Linked DNA regions of Kluyveromyces lactis. The protein of the gene in region 5 purifies or fractionates together with the protein of the main gene of each other region. This does not show direct contact. Links are inferred from orthologs where the notes say so. Each region holds a gene or a part of one and is shown on either strand. Other genes may lie near its edges. The genes, in order: RPS3, NMD3, PAB1, NUP159, CRM1 and PWP2.

What was found.
Region 1: the proteins of CRM1 (region 5) and RPS3 purify together in Saccharomyces cerevisiae (affinity purification with mass spectrometry; 4 studies listed by BioGRID, with this or other methods). This does not show direct contact. The link is inferred for Kluyveromyces lactis from reciprocal best matches to the Saccharomyces cerevisiae genes CRM1 and RPS3.
Region 2: the proteins of CRM1 (region 5) and NMD3 purify together in Saccharomyces cerevisiae (affinity purification with western blotting; 3 studies listed by BioGRID, with this or other methods). This does not show direct contact. The link is inferred for Kluyveromyces lactis from reciprocal best matches to the Saccharomyces cerevisiae genes CRM1 and NMD3.
Region 3: the proteins of CRM1 (region 5) and PAB1 purify together in Saccharomyces cerevisiae (affinity purification with mass spectrometry; 3 studies listed by BioGRID, with this or other methods). This does not show direct contact. The link is inferred for Kluyveromyces lactis from reciprocal best matches to the Saccharomyces cerevisiae genes CRM1 and PAB1.
Region 4: the proteins of CRM1 (region 5) and NUP159 purify together in Saccharomyces cerevisiae (affinity purification with mass spectrometry; 4 studies listed by BioGRID, with this or other methods). This does not show direct contact. The link is inferred for Kluyveromyces lactis from reciprocal best matches to the Saccharomyces cerevisiae genes CRM1 and NUP159.
Region 6: the proteins of CRM1 (region 5) and PWP2 purify together in Saccharomyces cerevisiae (affinity purification with mass spectrometry; 3 studies listed by BioGRID, with this or other methods). This does not show direct contact. The link is inferred for Kluyveromyces lactis from reciprocal best matches to the Saccharomyces cerevisiae genes CRM1 and PWP2.

What each region holds. Positions count from the first base shown.
Region 1 is NC_006040.1:705,125-707,764, reverse strand, and holds RPS3 (40S ribosomal protein uS3), read left to right. Parts: upstream 1-1,426; coding exon 1,427-2,140; downstream 2,141-2,640. Other genes in the region: SHR3 (Shr3p), read left to right, coding at 2,560-2,640. UniProt on the Saccharomyces cerevisiae protein: Component of the ribosome, a large ribonucleoprotein complex responsible for the synthesis of proteins in the cell.
Region 2 is NC_006037.1:459,073-462,314, forward strand, and holds NMD3 (ribosome-binding protein NMD3), read right to left. Parts: upstream 2,046-3,242; coding exon 501-2,045; downstream 1-500. Other genes in the region: ATG7 (Atg7p), read right to left, coding at 1-179; NOP19 (Nop19p), read right to left, coding at 2,301-2,894; ATP-dependent RNA helicase DBP8, read right to left, coding at 3,095-3,242. UniProt on the Saccharomyces cerevisiae protein: Acts as an adapter for the XPO1/CRM1-mediated export of the 60S ribosomal subunit. Unlikely to play a significant role in nonsense-mediated mRNA decay (NMD).
Region 3 is NC_006039.1:1,552,079-1,555,600, forward strand, and holds PAB1 (polyadenylate-binding protein), read left to right. Parts: upstream 1-1,243; coding exon 1,244-3,022; downstream 3,023-3,522. Other genes in the region: chromatin-remodeling ATPase CHD1, read left to right, coding at 1-389. UniProt on the Saccharomyces cerevisiae protein: Binds the poly(A) tail of mRNA. Appears to be an important mediator of the multiple roles of the poly(A) tail in mRNA biogenesis, stability and translation.
Region 4 is NC_006042.1:330,428-334,701, forward strand, and holds the start of NUP159 (FG-nucleoporin NUP159), read right to left. Parts: upstream 2,801-4,274; coding exon 1-2,800. Other genes in the region: porin POR1, read right to left, coding at 3,414-4,262. UniProt on the Saccharomyces cerevisiae protein: Functions as a component of the nuclear pore complex (NPC).
Region 5 is NC_006041.1:1,429,192-1,433,175, reverse strand, and holds the start of CRM1 (exportin CRM1), read left to right. Parts: upstream 1-1,184; coding exon 1,185-3,984. Other genes in the region: calcium channel protein CCH1, read left to right, coding at 1-609. UniProt on the Saccharomyces cerevisiae protein: Receptor for the leucine-rich nuclear export signal (NES).
Region 6 is NC_006039.1:783,357-787,335, forward strand, and holds PWP2 (snoRNA-binding rRNA-processing protein PWP2), read left to right. Parts: upstream 1-1,179; coding exon 1,180-3,915; downstream 3,916-3,979. Other genes in the region: MPP6 (Mpp6p), read right to left, coding at 1-527. UniProt on the Saccharomyces cerevisiae protein: Required for bud-site selection and cell separation. Also involved in nucleolar processing of pre-18S ribosomal RNA.

The DNA.
Region 1 (2,640 bases), on a different chromosome or scaffold from region 5:
GCTAATGCAGTCGATATTGGAAACAGCATAACTGGTTAAGCTCGGCTGCATTTTTGACGGTCAGAAGTGGCCACTGGTATAAGTGGGGCCAGTGGGGTCTGTTATTTCCTCATTCAGATAATCGCACACTACGAACGTTGCTGCTGTTTCGGACGCCAGACTAGGCCAAACAGTGTAGACTGTCAATTGAAAACAATCAGAAATGGTCGTCTTACCGATTTCTTAGGTACTGGCTCTAGGAAATGGAGTGAATAGCGCAGTTTTGTGCTTTGTGCGGTAGACGGAATAAACTGTATAGGCAACCAGTAAAAGGATCTACGAGTGAACTAGTAAGTTACAAAGTGGAATTGATTGGCCCATTATAAAGGCTGTGCAGGAGTCCGAACATCTCAGAAAACCATTTACAAAATGAGCTGCCTACCTACATGGTTCTTTCTTTTTATTCACACAAGTTGCACCAATCGATGTGCTTGTTTCGAGTGAGCAAGTAGCTGATTTTCATTTTCTTTTTTTTTTTTTGGCCTTAGGGAAAACTTACTAGGAACATGAAAAGGTAGTTGTTATAATGGATTGTAGTGGGTAGGTAGGTTGAGGCATTTCTGGTACATTCCGTATATTCGAGTGTGCTCGCTGTACCCTCTGCAGGTGTACTGGCTCCCAATATTATTCTTTTTTTTCGTTCAAATTGTGAGAAACAGAGAGAGAGAGAGAAAACGAAACGGCATCCTGTAATTACCCGAAGCAATATTGGGTCATATACCTGCTAAAACCCGGTCAATATTGACGTACTTTCTTTTCGGAATAACAAGTATGCAGCTGTGACACGCCGTGATTGCAACATTGTCTGGAATTCCTATGTTATTTCCCATTTTATTATTCGTTGAAACAATTGTGTTGTCTGTTTCCTAAGTGATGCGAGTTACCACAAGGCTCTCGAGTATTCACATAAACCAATGCAGGGGGTGGAACATCTCGCGTATAAATCCTATTTAGGAACTTCCCCATTAGGAAATGGAGGAACGGTCTTGAAGTTTTCTGTTTACGGCGAGTTTTCTACGCTTACCAGGTGACTTGAAAATATATGTTCCTGGGACTGCTCACCCGGACATTTTTGTTTTAGTTTTTTTTCCAATTTTTTCTGCATTGCCATTTTGGGTACTTATCTCATTGAAAATGTTCATTTATCTGAAGCATTAACCCATACACCACATGTGTTGGTGAGTAAATACTGTCTTTCAGATGATTTTTTCATTTTCACCATACCAATCGCAGCGATTCGGACGGTTTGACGAATATTGTTCTCATCATCGCTTTACAATCTGGTTCATTATGAACATAAGTGCCATTGGACATACAAGATACTTACTTTAGTTAGTTTTATTATCACCTATAATTTCGAGCTCCCCGACGAACAAATAAAGTAAAAATGGTTGCCATTATCTCCAAGAAGAGAAAGCTTGTCGCTGACGGTGTTTTCTACGCCGAATTGAACGAATTCTTCACCAGAGAATTGGCTGAAGAAGGTTACTCTGGTGTCGAAGTCAGAGTTACTCCAACCAAGACCGAAATTATCATCAGAGCTACTAAGGTTCAAGATGTTGTTGGTGAAAATGGTAGAAGAATCAACGAATTGACCTTGTTGATTGAAAAGAGATTCAAGTACAAGCGTGGTACCATTGCTTTATACGCTGAAAGAGTCCATGACCGTGGTTTGTCCGCTGTTGCTCAAGCTGAATCCATGAAGTTCAAATTGTTGAACGGTTTGGCCATCAGAAGAGCTGCTTACGGTGTTGTCAGATACGTTATGGAATCTGGTGCCAAGGGTTGTGAAGTTGTCATCTCCGGTAAGTTGAGAGCTGCTAGAGCCAAGTCCATGAAGTTCGCTGACGGTTTCTTGATCCACTCCGGTCAACCAGTCAACGACTTCATTGAAACCGCTACCAGACACGTTTTGTTGAGACAAGGTGTTTTGGGTATTAAGGTTAAGATCATGAAGGACCCATCTAGAAACACCTCTGGTCCAAAGGCTTTGCCAGATGCTGTTACCATCATCGAACCAAAGGAAGAAGAACCAGTTTTGGAACCTTCTGTCAAGGATTACAGACCAACTGAACCAGTTGAAGCTGCTGAATCTGCTTAAATCAATTGATATCTGTTTGATTCTATATTATTAATTAGTCTATTAAATACCGTTCTTATATGTATAAATATTAAGAAACTCATCAATTCTTTTAAAAATAAGTAATCTATGCCCAGATGACATCGATTAAAACGTCCTGCTTTTATCAATGGATTTTTAAAATGATTTATCGATAGCGCCTTCCGATAATGCCTTTCCGCCTTTCAGTTCCTTTATCTTTCATACTAATCAAAAAAATTCGGTGGGCAAAAATCATGTAAATTATTAAAAAAAAAGAGAATATATAGTGCGTACTGAAAAAACCAATGGCTCAATTATAGATGAATTGTTAACCATTTAATACCACACGTAGGGTCTATACGTTCCATTTTTAAGAGAACGTAGGTATCGCTCACTAAACACATTGACTGAAAGTAAATATGGGCCTAACTTATAAGGATTTTTGTGCTGTAGGTACAGCATTGATCATTGGATCAACTACTTTTTTGATGGGGATCTTC
Region 2 (3,242 bases), on a different chromosome or scaffold from region 5:
TCTCTAAGCGAGAGTGAAACAGTGTTAGAAGTGATATTTTCAAGGTCTAGTGCAGAGAACAATTCTTTCTCAGCAGAGTCTAACTTGAACACTTCAAGTTTTAATCTTGATAATTCATGGAAAAACGAGGTATCAACAAAAGACTTAAAAGCTGGTGAAAACTTAAGATCGTTAAGCATCTTTCCTGGTACTCAGGTTTTGTTCCATGAAGAAAGAATAGTACTTCTTGGTTTACTTTATTTATCTATGCACTGCAGTTAAGGGTATAGTGTATCAGGGTAGTATTACGAATCGACGTCTTTTTTACAAGAATGAACTAAACTCAGGAAAGCATTGTTACCCTGAAACATGCCAATTATTAATATTCACTAGTGTACACTATACAAGACGGCCATTGTATCATTGATCTAATGCAGATGATGAGTAAATTCAACTAACTTGCCTATCTCGTAAATATATATTGTAATTATTGTCCAAACAAGAAGAGACTAAACCAAATTCTATAGCATTTCTTCACCTTGTTGTTGATCTTCTAAAGTCATCTCATCCAACTCATCTAATAGTTCATCAATATCAATTTGTGGAGCATCTTCATCTTCATCTTCTTCCATCTCGCCTTCGTGCTCTGCTGGTTTGTTGCTCTTATATAGATTGATTGTTTGTCTCATTTCCTCATCTTCCTCCAATTCTTGTAGGAAAATCTCATAATCTCTTTCAGCACGTTCCATTTCTTGTTTCTGTTGTCTTGAAGTGTAGTCTTGAGAAGCTTCGATATCCTTGTGTTCCTTAGCCATTCTCTTCAACTTCCATTTTCTGTTCTTCTTTGTCTTTCTTTGATATAGTTTCTTGATTAGAACGATGTCTGGCACGTAATCAATATTTAAACCATCGAAGAGCTCTGAGTTATAGTTAGAGTTAGCGATAAAGTAACCCATGACACTGTCACCAGGATGAATAATACCACCAAGATGTGTTCTAACGTAATAGACTTGGTCATTGGAGCCTAGATCGGAAGATCTAGCGACAGTAACGTCAGCCAATACCCATTTGTTTCTAACTTGACCAGTAGGTTCAACGTCCAATATGATGAATTCAACTAGTTGGGACACTTCAGCTAATGCACTGAAAGGTTCACGCCAGTACATTGGAGCAGTCAAATCACACGTTTGAAGAGTGGTTGGATCCAGGAACTGGAGAGAGTTAGAAACCTTGGAACAGATGACAAATTGACTGATGTTACCCAAAGACTTGGCAAGCTTCTTAGGTAAAACAACCAAATCATCTCTACAAATTGGAACAATTTCCACGGAAAAAGTGAATTTGTAAGTAGATGAACCGGTATGGATATCTTGAGAGATTAACTCCTCGGATTTTTTACATTTGATAGGTACGACAGCATTTAAGAAATCCAACATCTTAGCAGCATGGTTCTTTTGAGAATAGAAGAAATCTAAACCATCCTTTGCCTCACTAATGGAAATGGTGTCAACATGGGCATTGTGCTTCAAAATCAACTGTTCTAAATACAAGAAAGTTCTCTTATGAGGAACTTTTTGTCTAATTTGGACGTTTGCTCTCCATGTATTAGTGGTATAAGATCTAGCACAGTCCGGACATTGCATGGCAATCACCACATATTCCACTTCAAATGTTTGCTGGATAATAGTGTTAGCCATAGCTTCACCTTGAACGGTCAATTTGACCCGGATACGTCTAGAATGAGGTTCGGTCCAGATAAATGATGCATCCACTAATCGAACTTTGTTTAAGCCTTTCAAACGACGTAAACACAACGCCAAAAGTTCACGAGATTCCAAAGAAGCCCTAATCCATTGGCTTGGTGGTTGCAAGAACCTCTCACAGTTTCTACAGAAAGAAACATTAGCCTCTCTGGGAATACCTTCTGTAATATCGACATTCAACTTAATACAGTCGTAACACATAACTAGCCCTGAGGACCCATCCATAGGCACACCACAACTGCAACATAGCACTGTAGCATGCTGATGTTGCATGTGATTCTGATCTAACGGAGTGTAATTCATCGAGTTCGGTGGATACTTCTGCCCTTGCTGGAATACCTATAATGCAGACATTAATCAGCTTTCAAGCACTATCAGACTGTGCAAGAACAAGATGCGATGAGATGAGCTTTCTCAAAATTTTTCTTAAAAGAGACTGCGAACCCTCAAGAAAAAGAAATTTTGCACGTGACTTTGAACCTTGGATTTATGCATCTATGCATATTAAGCTAGTCTATATACAGGAGAATTACACTTTATAAAGAATGATTAACACGTTCAACGTTTGGATTTCTTTCCAGCAAATAGCAAGCCAAATTGTTTCTTGGAATGTTTTTGTACTTTAGGTTCCATATCTTCTTCATCCGAGGAAGAGTCGGAATGCGATGAAGTCGATTTGGTATAATATTGGTTTTTACTGTGGTCTTTCGAAACATTTGTGCCTCTCGGAAGCTCGTTACGTATCTTCTGTCTTTCCTGATTCCTTATCTTATGTTTTAACGAAACCATAGCCTGGGAGTCGTCTTTCCTCACTCTGTGTATACTGTTTCTCTGTTGCACGTCCTTGGTAGCTCTTTTCTTTTTGGCTAAAGAGCTGACCTTCTTATCACTTTTGATGAACTCTCCAATGGTATGTATATCGGTATCATCAGTACTTTGCGCGTTCTCAAATGATAAACCGCTTCCTATTTGAATGACAGGCAACTGGAAAAATTCCTTCTTTGATTCGTTGCTATCCTCCTTTGCTAGATCATTAGATGACGTCTTAGAATCCTCTATCCATCCGAGCACCTTAGCAGTGGAACTGCTAAACCCATTTTGAAATTTAGCAAGTAGTGCTTGCTTTTCTTTTATCTCCTGAGCTCTTGACATGGCTTGGTGAGTCTGTATTACTTGTTAGATTGTAAGAGTATACCTTTATGGCGGCCGATGCATCTCATCTGGTTCGATCTCATCGCTTCAAAGAATAAGTTACCATTTTTTTTTCAGTGATTACTCTCTAAGGAAGAATCAGAATTCACGTGACTGATTTTTAAATGGAATATGTGGATAGGTCTATCAACTATGTGAGTTTATGTACGTCTATGAGTCTTTTCTTTGGATTCATTCTTTCTCTTTTGGAGTTTCCTTCTTTCACCAAAACCTTCTTTATCCATGGCCATGAGACTTTCTCTTTTTGCTGCTGTAACCTTAGTTAACGACTTCCTAATCACGGCTGTA
Region 3 (3,522 bases), on a different chromosome or scaffold from region 5:
GTACGCCTGTCGTCGGATCGAAAAAACAGCAGAGGAAAGGTAAAGACATACCGTTGGCACCAAAAGCCGATATCCGTCTTCCTGACAAAGAATACGACAGTATGGACGAAGAAGAGTGTAAGAAAACGATGACAAACGTCCGTAGCTCACTCAAACGTCTAAGATCTGGAGGAGACGGTCTTGAACGTAAGCAATGGGCTAACCTATTGAAGAAGGAATTGAAACGTGTTGGTGACTACATCGAATCGCACAAGAAGGACTCGTCTAAGACCTCTCCAGAAAAATATAAAAGACATTTATGGTCTTTCACTGCATATTACTGGCCAAGAGATGTCCCATCTTCCAAACTCCTGGCGATGTACGACAAAATCAAAGCCTCTGAACATTAATTAGTCAAATGTAACAAAACATAGAGATATATACGCCTATCAATTTACGAAAAAAAAAAAGATATCTAATCAACAACATATTGCTATTAGTTATTATTACCTTCATAAATGACATGAGGCACAAGGGCGCACCAGAAACAGCCGGCTGCTAGTAAAATACCTGGTTTGTTGTGGTGATGCCTCAGATCATTTCGCACGTACCTACCTTTCCTTTTGTGGAAAAGCTTTAAACTCTTTTTCAACTCTTTAAATTTTTCAATGAAAATTTTCACTTTTTGGCTAACTCATCACAACAATTAAGGACTGTTCTCACAGAGATGGATGAATTATATAACGATTTTAAATAAGTTCTTGTGATGTTGTTTCATTTATTTAATTTGTTATAAGTTTTTAGTTATCTTGGTTAGTTTATACTGTTTCGTTTGTTACTTATTTGTATTACCTTTCTGGTTCAGTTATTGTAACATTTTATTTTGTGCAATTTGTTTGTTTAAAAAGACCACGGTCAAAGTCAGCAAACTCTCTAAAGGTATCATCTGTATCCTGTATTTTAATTGTTTTTGGTAAAAGAAAAGAATAAGCGTGGTTTATATCTTTTTAATATTAGTCAAAACATTCCAGTTAGAAGTCTTTTTGAATTCAAGTTAACTAAGGGTTTTTCATTTCCATCCATCGTTAAATCAAAACTTAATAGTTTCATCAAAGGTTCGCAACTGTGTGGGTATTAAACAAAACAATACACTAAAATACACATTAAAAAACCATAAAAAAACATATATTTTAAAAACACATTACAAAACCAACCAACCGCCATCTTTTTCGGTTAAATTTATCTCATCTCATCTCATCTCATAATGTCTGATATTACTGAAAAAACTGCTGAGCAATTGGAAAACTTGCAGATCAACGATGATCAGCAACCAGCTCAATCTGCCAGTGCTCCATCCACTTCTGCTTCTGAAAGCGAAGCTTCTTCTGTTTCTAAGGTTGAAAACAACAACGCTTCATTGTACGTTGGTGAATTGGATCCAAACATTACTGAAGCATTGTTGTACGATGTGTTTTCACCATTGGGTCCAATTTCCTCGATCCGTGTTTGTCGTGATGCCGTCACCAAGGCTTCGTTAGGTTACGCTTACGTTAACTATACTGATTACGAAGCTGGTAAGAAAGCTATTCAAGAATTGAACTATGCTGAAATCAACGGTAGACCATGTAGAATTATGTGGTCCGAACGTGACCCAGCTATCAGAAAGAAGGGTTCTGGTAACATTTTCATCAAGAACTTGCACCCAGCCATTGACAACAAGGCTTTGCATGAAACTTTCTCCACTTTCGGTGAAGTCTTGTCTTGTAAAGTTGCTTTAGATGAGAATGGAAACTCTAGAGGCTTCGGTTTCGTTCATTTCAAGGAAGAATCCGATGCTAAGGATGCTATTGAAGCCGTCAACGGTATGTTGATGAACGGTTTGGAAGTTTACGTTGCCATGCACGTTCCAAAGAAGGACCGTATCTCCAAGTTGGAAGAAGCCAAGGCTAACTTCACCAACATTTACGTCAAGAACATTGACGTTGAAACCACTGACGAAGAGTTCGAACAGTTGTTCTCCCAATACGGTGAAATTGTCTCTGCTGCTTTGGAAAAGGATGCTGAGGGTAAGCCAAAGGGTTTCGGTTTCGTTAACTTTGTTGACCACAACGCCGCTGCCAAGGCCGTTGAAGAGTTGAACGGTAAGGAATTCAAGTCTCAAGCTTTGTACGTTGGCAGAGCTCAAAAGAAGTACGAACGTGCTGAAGAATTGAAGAAACAATACGAACAATACCGTTTGGAAAAATTGGCTAAGTTCCAAGGTGTTAACTTGTTCATCAAGAACTTGGACGATTCCATCGATGACGAAAAATTGAAGGAAGAATTCGCCCCATACGGTACCATCACCTCTGCTAGAGTCATGAGAGACCAAGAGGGTAACTCTAAGGGTTTCGGTTTCGTTTGTTTCTCTTCTCCAGAAGAAGCTACCAAGGCTATGACCGAAAAGAACCAACAAATTGTTGCCGGTAAGCCATTGTACGTTGCCATTGCTCAAAGAAAGGATGTCAGAAGATCCCAATTGGCTCAACAAATTCAAGCCAGAAACCAAATCAGATTCCAACAACAGCAACAACAACAAGCTGCTGCCGCTGCTGCTGGTATGCCAGGCCAATACATGCCACAAATGTTCTATGGTGTTATGGCCCCAAGAGGTTTCCCAGGTCCAAACCCAGGTATGAACGGCCCAATGGGTGCCGGTATTCCAAAGAACGGTATGGTCCCACCACCACAACAATTTGCTGGTAGACCAAACGGTCCAATGTACCAAGGTATGCCACCTCAAAACCAATTCCCAAGACACCAACAACAACACTACATCCAACAACAAAAGCAAAGACAAGCCTTGGGTGAACAATTGTACAAGAAGGTCAGTGCCAAGATTGACGACGAAAACGCCGCTGGTAAGATCACCGGTATGATCTTGGATCTACCACCACAGCAAGTCATCCAATTGTTGGACAACGACGAACAATTTGAACAGCAATTCCAAGAAGCCTTAGCTGCTTACGAAAACTTCAAGAAGGAACAAGAAGCTCAAGCTTAAACTTGATTTTTTGACCTTGATCTTCATCTTGTCCTTTCTATATCTTTCCCCCGAAGAAAAAGAAAAATTAAAAAAAAAAACGAACAGCTAACTATATGAATAGTCTCAGCTTCACGCATTGGAACTGGGTGGTGCTAATTAGCTTACGCATTGTTATAGACCTAAACTAGTCGAAATAAACTACTTTCTGCCACTCTTCTTTTTCTCTCGCTTTTTTTTTTTTTGTTCATCACAGGCTTTCCATTGTTGCCAAAAATGTTGTGCTTTTAATCTTTACCAATAAAAAAAATTACCACGCTCCACATATACCATATTACCACAATCCATCACATCACTCTACCCTTTCTCCATACCGCTAATTCAATCCGGAGGTATGCCCCATTTTTCTCTTCAAATTTTTTCTTACTGATTTTTTCTATCTAACTATTATTGTTACTCTACCCGTTTTATATAATACTAAAGCTCTAATGGGAGGACATTAGTAGTCTTTTTAATGAAGA
Region 4 (4,274 bases), on a different chromosome or scaffold from region 5:
GCGCTTGCTGCTCCTTCTCCTCTTCCTCTCCCTCCTCCTTTTCTTCTTCTTCTTCTCCTTCTTCTTCTTCTTCTTCTTCTTCTTCTTCTTCTTCTTCTTCTTCTTCTTCTTCTTCTTCTTCTTCTTCTTCTTCTTCTTGCCCATCTTTGGTCTCCACTTTTGCTTGTTCTTCGTTGCTTTGCTCAGCTTCATCCTCTTCTATGTCACTGTTTGAGTTCAAAACAGTTGAAGAAGGTTTTGAAGAGGCTTCGATGTGTATATCAGATCTATCATTATCATATATTTCCCTGTCCTCTCCGTATAAGGAATCACTTTCATCGGTAGAGGATACAATGTTAGATTCGATATCGTCTTGATCTTCTGAAATGCTCGAATCATTAGCTGGACTAGGCACTTCAGATTGATCGTTTTCGATCGTCGAATCGCTGACTTCTTTCGAATTCAAAGAATCTTGAGTGACGGATGGCAAACTGTGGTTAGCTTCTGATATAGATTCACCGAAACCAGTAAAGTTGAACGACTTAGTGTCTTCTTTTTTAGAATTCAAGTGGCCGAATGGATCAGAAGTCTGAGTTTCGAATGGATTTATGGTCTTTTGGTCTGTAGCAAAGGCAGAAAATGGTGAAGACAATTTCGCAGATGTAGCGAATGAATTCGGTGCAGGGTTGGTAACAGCGCTGTCGCTGCCAAACTGAGAAGTTCCAAAGAGCGATTTTCCAAAAGACGACTCTGATGAAATTTTTGTGTTGGTTCCGAATGGAGAGGTAACATTAGCTCCTTGTATTCCGAAAGATGTGGAGCCAAAACTTGGCGTTCCAAAGACAGATGACGTCTCTGCCTCTTCGGACAAGGGTGAAGTGGTATTAGTTTGAGATTGGGTACCAAATGATGTACTTCCAAATGTTGGTTTGCCAAACGCTGGTTTACTGGGCGCCGATTGGTCAGATACAGGTTGGCCGAATGCTGGTTGTCCGAATGCTGGTTGTCCAGACGTTGGTTGACTAGATGCAGGTTTACCGAAAGTTGGTGGACCGAATGCTGCTTGGCCGAATGCTGATTGTCCAGATGTTGGTTGACTAGATGCCGGTTTCCCAAACGCTGGCTCCCCGAATGCTGGTTGACCGAATGCTGGTTGACCGACTGCTGATTGTCCAGATGTTGGTTGACTAGATGCCGGTTTCCCAAACGCTGGCTCCCCGAATGCTGGTTGACCGAATGCTGATTGTCCAGACGTTGGTTGACTAGATACAGGTTTGCCGAAAGTTGGTAGACCGAATGCTGGTTGACCGAATGCTGATTGGCCAGGTGTTGCTTGGCTAGATGTTACTTGGCCAAATGTTGCTTGGCCAAAGGCAGGTTTTCCAAATGCAGGAGATGAACCAGATGACAGCAAAGGATTTTGAGAGCCCTCAGACTCAGCATTTGTACTATCCGTCATGTTCTTCGGAGTGAACGAAAAACCTTTAGCGAAGGAATTTGTAGTTTCAAAAAATGACGATTGTTCAGGAACCTTTCTTACTTCAGTTATTGTGTTCTTAGTGTCTTGGGGAGAAATTAAAGTAACTTTTTCCTTTTCCATTGAAGAAGAACCACTTTCTATTTTATGAGATAAGATTTCGAAAGACTGTACATACTGAGTTTTGGTTGGTTCTAGCGTGAAACTCGAGTTTTGTAAAGCAGAGTGATGGAATAAAGCCCAACAAAATAGTTCCCCAAGATTGGTGAGGACATATAATATCGGTAGATTGTCAGCAGCCTCTACTCCGGAACAAGGCTCATACACAGTACCACTGGAAAATACATCTAGGGCCATCCCAATGGGTTGTGTATCATTATCTGTTTCAGGGTTGATTGGAAGAATTGCACAAGCAGCATCTTGGTCCGGTTTATACATCACGTTCGGTGTGGCAATCGATAGCTCTGATGCACACGATGATCCTATAACGAATAGATGTGGTAGCTGCTGAGCGAGTTGATACAATGTTTGAGAGTAGTATGAAGGATTTCTTTTGACTGTTGAATAGGGAGGCGCGATATCCATGGAAGGAGTAAAAGATTTAGTATTGACATTGACAAAATATACGGTTAAATCGTACATGATATCTTCTTCCGAGGCATCGACCGGTTCGCCGTACGATACGAGTAAACTGCTTTCTGACAAAGCGTTTATGGACAACGGTTCGTTAGGTTCATCGAGAGATGGCTTTTCAATAGAGGATGTGACGTTAAACTGTTCATCCAGTACAGCTATAGAACCATTTTTGTGTAAAACATAAAGTTGATGTTTCAAAGTGTCAATTGCGATGCAACCTGTGATTGAATGTAACTGTTCGGAAGAATGCTTTTGCGATAAGGATATTTTAAACACGACATTAGCGTTACTCGCAAGAAGTACATTCCCTTGGAAAATTACAGAACAAATGACTTCATTGACACCATTACCGTCCCAGTATTGTTCCCAGGCGAATTGGTCCAATTCGGTAACCCATACTGAACCATCTTCTAGGACCGTAGCCAAACTCTCTGCCACAAAAAAAACGCCCACTACTTTCGCCGTGAACTCTTTCGTATTTAGAGTGATGAAGGACTCATCACGGACAGATTGCAGATCATATACAGACACAGTCTTGGAAGAAGCAACAGCTAGTAATTTTTTCAACGGATGTATGGAAGCATTAGCCAGTTTTGAGAATGGCAAATCCTCATTGAAGCCTGGAACAATTTGTTTAGAGAATAAAAACTTGAATCCCAAGCTCTCAGTAGTTTCAACATTCAACGCATCAACCACAGAGGACGTCATTGATTCTGTATGTGTTCTTTTATCTGTGCCGACAGTAGTAGTTTCAATCCGTTAGTGTATTAATATAAACCTCAGCTGCTTATTAATTTGTAAACCTTGAATTTCAATGGGCATCAGTTGCAATGTTCAGTGCTTGTACAGGTTTGAAGCTTTTTGATGATAGCTTTGAAGTAAACAAAGTTCCAAAAAGAAGGAAATTATCAATCACGTGATCCGGAAATCAGTATGAGGTTAGTGTTCATGTTTTATTGTCTTTACTATGACATGAATGTTTTGAGATATAAAATTTTTTAGATGGTCATTAAAGAATACGTATTTAGTTAGGTAAGTATCTTCGAAAGAAGTAGGCGTTAACATTGTAATTGAGGCCATATCTGTAATGAAAACAAAGCGGATATTGTTGTTCTGAAAAAAAAGCGAACAAAATGAAAGGCAATATATATATATATCGGTATCAAATGGAACGCCAAGAAGAATGATACTTTAGTTGAATGTGAATCATTTCAAAATTGATAACCTAGGCTGGTGATCCATTGGACAAAGCAAAATAACATAAACTTAGAAAAAAGTAACACTTCTTTTTAACACTTGTGTAAAATTACTAAGTATGCATTTAAGCAGCGAACGATAGAGACCAACCCAACTTGTGGACTGGTTCAGCCAACTTCAAAGCGTCGAAAGAAGCACCAATACCTAGAGTGACACCTGGTCTCAATATTTGTTGGTAGGACAAGGCGACGATACCGGAGTCAGCAACCTTAGCCTTAACTTGAGAAACGGCGTCCAAAGCGTACTTGGAAGCGAATTCAATGTTGACATTAGAGCCAGCTTGAGGGTTCAAAGCAGCCTTAGCACCGACTTGCAAGATTGGGGAAACCTTTTGGAAGAAGGAAGCGGTGATCAATTGAGCGTTGTTGACGGACAAACCAACGGAATAAGCACCAGAAGCGTTGTAACCCAAAGCCAAAGCGTAACGGGAGACGGCACCAGCAGAGATGTCATAACCAACTTCAGCACCACCAACGAAACCTTCGTGAGCCAAGGTCAAGTCACCGACGAAGGATGGACCCTTCAACAAATCGAAGAAACCTCTAGCAGCAAACAAAGGTTGAACAAAGTTAACGTTCAACTTAGCAGCCTTAGAGACACCTGGAACACCAGAAGTGATCAATTCAGTCTTCAAGCCTGGAGTCAATTCAGCCAATTCGATCTTGGTGTCCAAAGTGTTGGCGTTGTTCCAACCTTGGGTGAAAGTCAAACCAGTAGACTTGTCAGAGGCCTTAACTTCAACGTTAGCAGCAATTGAGCCATCTTTTGGAGAAGTTTTACCCTTAACAGTGAAAGCAACACCGTTTGGAGCAGTGGTCTTAACGTCAACAGAAGCTGGGGTAGCGTGGAAGAATTCCTTGTTCAACAACCCATTGATGTCCTTGGAAATATCAGAAAAGAATGGAGGAGCCATTGTAAATCTTTG
Region 5 (3,984 bases):
TACATGAAAGTAAACCCAAACGATCCATATGATGTTGAAATTGATCACTTCGGACTCAGCAAAGAACTTTCCTCTATAGACTATCAAAAAGTGAACGCCAGACGACTAGATTATAACAGATTTGTCCATGAAATTCAGCTGGGAAATAAGAGATACAACGCCGTGCAGTTCAATCAGCTGATGGAAACAGTTCCATTGTACACTACATATAACAAGACTGAATGTCTTGGGATCGATGATTATGTGAAAAATTTATACGACATGAACAAAGTTGATAAACTGATCCGGAACGAGAGAAACTACGATACCATGCTAATGGTTGTCGCAAGATGGAAATTTTTACTGAACCGTAGAGGCAAGATACAACTACCTAAAATAATGGTGCCAATATCCTCTTATCCAAACGGATCCACTGAAGATTTCGAGCTTGAGTTTAAGTCACCTGTTTTAAATACCCAGGAATCAGAGTTTATGTGGTCGCCAGGCCGTCGCAACAATCACTGGTTTGAAGAAGATGAAAGTAGCTCAAAAGAAAATACATCTCGAACTCTGATCAAAGACACATCTACCAAACCAGGAACAACCGACTCATCCTCATCATCATCTTAGATCAATGAGTACCTAATCTTAATTTATGTTCCATCATTTGTTACATATATAGACTTGTATACCCACAGAAGAGTACCTTTTTTGATTAACTAAAGGAAAAGATTTCAGATCACGTGTATGTTTGGGCGCCACGCCTAAAGCCATCACAAGGCACGAATTTAGTTACCCTACCATTATTGATTTTTCGAAAGAAGCAGTTTTACTAAAGCCAAAACCTTCAATTGATAGGGTTTGGGGTCTAAAGTAAACAGAATGTTAACATGTATTTGTTAGATAAATTTTAGATCTGGCAGCGTGCTATCGAGTCACTTTTGTTCGTACTAGATTCAACCGTTACTGTTCAGTGCTAAATAAGAAAACTATAGTCCGGTGTATTTTTTTTTCTTTCTTTATTATTTATTTCGGAAATTGCAGCTGTGAATTCGAATCTTGGTGGAATTTATACAGCAGACTAAAGGAACAAGACATTGCATTTAATTAATCAGGGTCTTTTCATAAGAAGGATACTACTGCACTGTACTCATAGGAAAATAGTAAAAAGAGATCCACACACACGTTCTTCTTTCTAAATCAATATGGAGGCTGTTTTAGACTTTTCTCGGGACTTAGACATCCAGCTCCTAGATCAAGTGGTGGATACCTTTTTCAAGGGCTCTGGTGCGTCTCAAAAGGAGGCACAAGAGGTTCTTACTAAATTGAAGGACCATCCAGATGCTTGGCAAAGGGCTGATAAAATCTTGCAGTATTCAAATAATCCGCAAACGAAGTTCATTGGGCTTTCCATTTTGGATAAGTTAATTACGACGAAATGGAAGATGTTACCTCAGGAGCATAGACTTGGAATTCGTAATTTCATCGTTGGAATGATTATTTCAATGTGTCAAGATGATCAGGTTTTCCAAACTCAGAAGAATTTGATTCATAAGTCTGATTTAACCTTGGTTCAAATTCTTAAGCAGGACTGGCCAGAAAACTGGCCAGACTTCATCCCGGAGTTGGTTCTCAGTTCCCAAGCTAGTGTAAACGTATGTGAAAACAACATGGTAATGCTAAAGTTATTAAGTGAGGAAGTCTTTGATTTCTCTGCAGAGCAAATGACGCAAGCTAAAGCACTACATTTAAAACAATCTATGGATCAACAATTTGAACAGATTTTCAATCTATGTTACGAAATTTTGGAAACCGCATCTTCTCCATCCCTTATGGTGGCCACTTTGCAATCTCTTTTGAGATACTTGCATTGGATCCCATACCGTTACATCTACAACACTGATATTTTGCAATTGTTGAGTACGAAATTTTTAGTCTCTGCTGACACCAGAGCTATTACTTTGAAATGTTTGACTGAAGTTTCTCAACTTGATATTCCAGCAAATGACCCAAAGATTGCTTCGTTAACTGTAATGTTTTTCCAAAATGCTTTGCAACAAATTGCTGTTAACGTTATACCGGTGAATGCTGACTTGAAGAACACATATGCTACTGCTAATGGCAACGATCAATCATTTTTGCAAGATTTTGCCATGTTCTTGACTACCTATTTGGCCAGACACCGTTCAATATTAGAAGATGATGAATCCTTGAGGGAACTATTAATTACTGCGCATCAATATTTGATTGAACTTTCGAAGATTGACGAAAGAGAATTGTTCAAAACGACTTTGGACTACTGGAATAATTTGGTTTCGGCCTTGTACCAAGAGGTGCAACAAATCCCTCAAAATCAGAATAACGTCCTATTGAAACTATCTCAAGGATCGAATATGTTCTCAGGGAGCAATGGTGCTCCTCACCCGGAATTCTTGAAAAGGTTCCCGTTAAAGAAACACATTTACGATAACATCTGTTCTCAGTTAAGATGGGTTATAATAGAATCGATGGTTAGACCAGAGGAAGTTCTTATTGTGGAAAACGATGAAGGTGAAATCGTCAGAGAGTTTGTTAAGGAGTCGGACACAATTCAGTTATATAAGTCCGAAAGGGAAGTACTTGTTTACTTGACGCATTTAGATGTTCTTGATACTGAAGACATCATGTTGAATAAATTGGCAAAGCAACTTGATGGCTCTGAATGGTCATGGCACAACATCAACACATTGTGTTGGGCTATTGGTTCTATTTCTGGTACTATGGACGAGGAAACTGAGAAAAAATTTGTCGTTACAATCATTAAAGATCTTTTAGCCTTGACTGATAAAAAGCGCGGTAAGGACAACAAGGCTGTTGTTGCATCGAACATTATGTACGTTGTCGGTCAGTACCCACGTTTCTTAAAAGCTCATTGGAAGTTCTTGAAGACAGTCATTCTAAAACTATTTGAATTTATGCATGAAACCCATGAGGGTGTTCAAGATATGGCCTGTGACACCTTCATCAAGATTGTACAGAGATGTAAACGTCACTTTGTCGTTCAACAGCCAAACGAAAGTGAACCTTTCATCCAGGCAATAATTAGAAACATTCAAGACCACACCTCCGATCTTCAACCTCAGCAAGTACACACATTTTACAAGGCTTGCGGTTTAATTATTTCTGATGAAAGAAACCCAGGAGAAAAACAAAGATTACTAGCAGATTTGATGCAACTCCCTAACATGGCATGGGACGCTATAATTCAGCAATCATCTACTCATCTGGATATTTTGTCGGACCCTGAAACTGTGAAAATCGTTACCAATATTCTAAAGACAAACGTTGCCGTTTGTTCCGCTATGGGTAATGACTTTGCTCCGCAGTTGAGTCGTAACTTCACACCAATGATGTCATTGTGCTCAGCTGTGTCTAGATGTATTTCAACACAAGTAGCCAGCGATGGGATTATTGCTACTAAGACTCCAAAGGTAAGAGGTTTAAGAACAATCAAGAAAGAAATTCTAAAATTAATGGAATTATACATTTCCAGTGCAAAGGATTTAGACTACATCGTAAATGACTTGGCATCAGCACTGTTTGACTCTGTGTTACGGGATTACTACATTACCGTACCAGATGCCCGTGACGCTGAGATTTTAAGTTGTATGACCACACTTGTCAACAAAGTTGGGCCTATGATGATCAGCGGTGTCATTTTGATTTTACAGAGTGTCTTTGAAGCTACATTAGACATGATCAATAAAGATTTCACGGAATATCCGGAACATCGTGTGGAGTTTTATAAATTATTGAGGGCCATCAACTCCAAGTGTTTCGTAGCGATATCTCAACTACCACCACCGGCTTTCAAACTTTTCGTTGATGCCATATGTTGGGCGTTCAAACACAACAACAGAGATGTTGAGGTAAATGGGTTACAAATTGCTTTAGACCTTATTCAAAACGTTGATTCCGCTAGTCCGTCTGAATTCTCTAACGATTTCTACAAGAACTATTACTTCA
Region 6 (3,979 bases), on a different chromosome or scaffold from region 5:
TAATTTCTATTCCTTTTTGACTTCTTCTTATTCCTCTCAGTATTACCATTACCATTGGATTTCTTCTGTTTCTTAGTCTGTGTTTCGGCTTCCCATAGCTTTTCTAAATCTGTCGTCGACACATCGTCCTCGTCCTTTTCTTCAAAACTTCTTTTCTTATCATTAGAACTCCCATCTGAACCGGGCGTAGCTCGTCCGAGTTTATTTCCGAATATTCTTCTTCCTGCATTTACACTAGTCCGTAGTGTGCTTGTGCTGAGATCGTTTGTATCGATCTTCGAATCCTCATCATTCAGTGACTTGATAGCAGAGAAACCTACGTTCTGTACCACTTTTGATTTATTAGCAAGTTTTGTCAAGAGTTTTACATTGTCACCTATCCTCCATTCTGACGAGTCCACCAATTTCTTTATTGTCTCCTCGGTCTGTTTAACTTTGTCTGCTTGTTCCGCATGCTTCATGAACTTCATGTTCATCACTCTATTGGATAACTTGCCTGTGACTTCATGCCGTTTCTGTCCACTCATTGTTACCTTTTCGTCTTAGTGCCCCTATTACCGCTTTCAAATAGGCTTCACTATATCATTGACACTGGAATACATTTTTAATGTATCATTAAAGTCCTAATACAGCTCATCTCATCAATCTTCTGCTGAATGGTTTGATCTTACATATTAGAATTTCATGAAAAGTTTGTTTACGATTGTCCGGAAAATGAAAGATAGCAAGAAGATAGAAATATCCATGGTTAAACCCCGTCGGACGTATTTCAGAATGCAAGGATCTGCACTATAAAAGGAACATTGTACAAAAATAAATGAAATAAAAAGGTCATTGGTAAAAGTATGAAAACAGCTATAATGAAGTACTCATACTAAGTTTCAAGTGCTGACATAAACGACAATCCACCCAAAAACCGACATGTTTCTGTTCTCTCTTTCTTTACTTCCGTGCTAAAGCTGTATATGTTTTCCTTTCTTTTTCATTCAGCATACAGGATTTCGAAAAATTTAAGAGAAAAAATTGAGCGATGAGATGAGATGAGATGAGATGAGTTCAAGCAGGAAGTGCAGACGGATTATCAGTCACTTGTAAGGACTTTGCATTATAATCAGTTGTTCAATTTCAATTAGTTGGAAGGAATCAGGTCAGACGAGCTTTATAAGGGTTTAGTTACGGATGAAGTCTGATTTTAAGTTTTCCAATCTTTTGGGAACTGTTTATAGGCAAGGTAACGTCTTGTTCTCTCAAGATGGTTCCAAGTTACTTTCACCGGTAGGTAATAGGGTGTCGGTATTTGATTTGATCAACAATACTGCTTTTACCTTCGAATATGAACATAGGAAGAACGTTGCCGTTGTAGATATCAACAAGCAAGGTACGTTACTTCTTTCCATTGATGTCGATGGTCGTGGTATCTTGGCGAACTTTAAGACAAGAAACGTATTGCATCATTTCAACTTCAAAGAAAAGGTTTATGACTTGAAGTTTTCACCTGATGGCAAGTTATTTGCGCTGGCTTGTGGGAGATTCTTACAAATATGGAGGACACCCGAGACCACTGAGGATAGACAGTTTGCACCTTTTGTTCGTTATAGAATCCATGCCGGCCACTTTTCTGATATAACTTCCTTGACATGGTCAAAAGATTCAAGATTTATTATATCCACATCCAAGGACCTAACGGCAAGGATATGGTCAGTTAACTCGGAGGAGAAAAATCTTGCATCGACGACTTTTGCAGGACATAGAGATAACGTTATCGGAGCATATTTCAGCGATGACCAGGAAAAGATATACACGGTCAGTAAAGATGGTGCCTTATTCCAATGGGAATACACCAAAAAGCCTGGTGAAGGGGAAGACAATGATGAAGATGAGGAAGATGTAGATTTGTCAAAATATAGTTGGAGAATCACAAAGAAGAATTTTTTCCATGCAAACAGAGCAAAGGTGAAGTGTTCTGCATTCCATGCTGCATCCAACATATTAACAGTCGGTTTCTCAAACGGTGAATTCCGACTCTATGAACTGCCAGAATTCATCATGATTCAACAACTTTCAATGGGTCAAAATGCAGTTAATACGGTTGCCATCAACAGTTCTGGTGAATGGTTGGCTTTCGGTTCTAGTAAACTTGGGCAATTGATAGTGTACGAATGGCAATCAGAGTCATATATTCTAAAACAACAAGGTCATTTCGATACGTTAAATGGATTGTGTTACTCCCCAGATGGATCGAAGATTGTCACAGCAAGTCACGAAGGTAAGATCAAGATTTGGGATGTCGCGTCAGGTTTCTGTTTGGCAACTTTTGATGAACATGCAGGTGGTGTAAGTGCAGTAGAATTTGCTAAAAAAGGTCAAGTTTTGTTTTCAGCTTCTTTGGATGGTACCGTGAAAGCATGGGACTTGATCAGATATCGTAATTTCAGAACGTTCACTGCGACCGAAAGAATACAGTTCAACTCATTAGCAGTTGATCCAAGCGGAGAAGTTGTATGTGCCGGGTCGGAAGATAGCTTTGACATTTTTGTTTGGTCAGTACAGACTGGTCAGTTAGTGGATACACTATCTGGCCATGAAGGTCCTATCTCCTGTTTATCTTTCAGTAATGAGAATGGAGTTTTGGCATCCGCTTCATGGGATAAAACAATTAGAGTGTGGTCTCTCTTCGGTAGAAGTCAACAGGTAGAGCCTTTTGAAGTATTTTCTGATGTTTTATCTATTTCTATGAAACCGGATGGTCAACAAATAGCTGCAAGTACTCTAGCGGGGCAAATATTATTCTTTGATGTTGCTGAGGGCAAACAGGTGGGAAATATTGACGGCAAAAGGGATATAATCTCGGGTAGACATTTGGAAGATCGGTTCACATCAGAAAGTTCAGCAAGATCTAAATATTTTACCACCATTCATTACAGTTTCGATGGTCTCTCTTTGGTTGCAGCCGGTAACAATAATTCCATATGTCTTTATGACATTCCAAACGAAGTACTGCTAAGAAGATTTACCGTATCCAAAAACATGATGTTAAACGGCACCATGGAGTTTTTAAACTCAAGTAGAATGACAGAAGCAGGATCTTTGGATCTCATTGATCAAGATGCAGAAAATTCAGACTTGGAAGATCGCGTAGATAACAGCCTTCCTGGTTCGAATAGAGGAGGTGACTTATCGACAAGAAGAGTCAGACCGGCGATCAGAGTGACGTCTATAAGATTCTCTCCTACTGCTAATGCATTTGCCGCCGGTTCAACAGAAGGTTTACTTGTATATTCCGTTGATAATACTATTCTTTTTGATCCTTTCGATCTTGACGTCGATGTGACTCCACAGAATGTTATCCAAAGCTTAGATGACAAGGAATATCTCAATGCCATACTAATGGCTTTCCGTCTAAATGAGGGCTATCTAATCCACAGAGTATATGAGAATATTCCAATAAAGGATATTCCATTGATAGCTCACGAGTTGCCAGTGGTTTACGTATCAAGAATTCTAAAATTCATTGGTGAGTACGCTTTAGAATCACAGCATTTGGAGTTCAATCTCCTTTGGATCAAATCTGTACTTACAGCCCACGGCAAATACATTTCTACTAATAAGCATCAATTCTCTAGCGCATTGAGAGCTGTCCAAAGATTTATTGGTAGAATGGCAAATGACGTCGTCCAAACATACAAGAGAAATAAGTACACATTAGACTTTTTGACAAATACCGATGGTTCTTCAACTAACGCTGTTGACGAGGATATGAATCTACTGGGCAATGATTCAGACAACGAATCTGAAGACAAAGAGGATATCAACATGGACGACGATTTAGATGGAGGTGAATGGGTTGGATTCGAGGAAAAAACTATTAATCTTCCTGTTAATGACGAAGATTCTGACGACGAAATCCTACTATGAAATCGGGATACTTCACTAAAAAGAGAATATATATAATTCCTAGCATGATAGATATATAAAATCA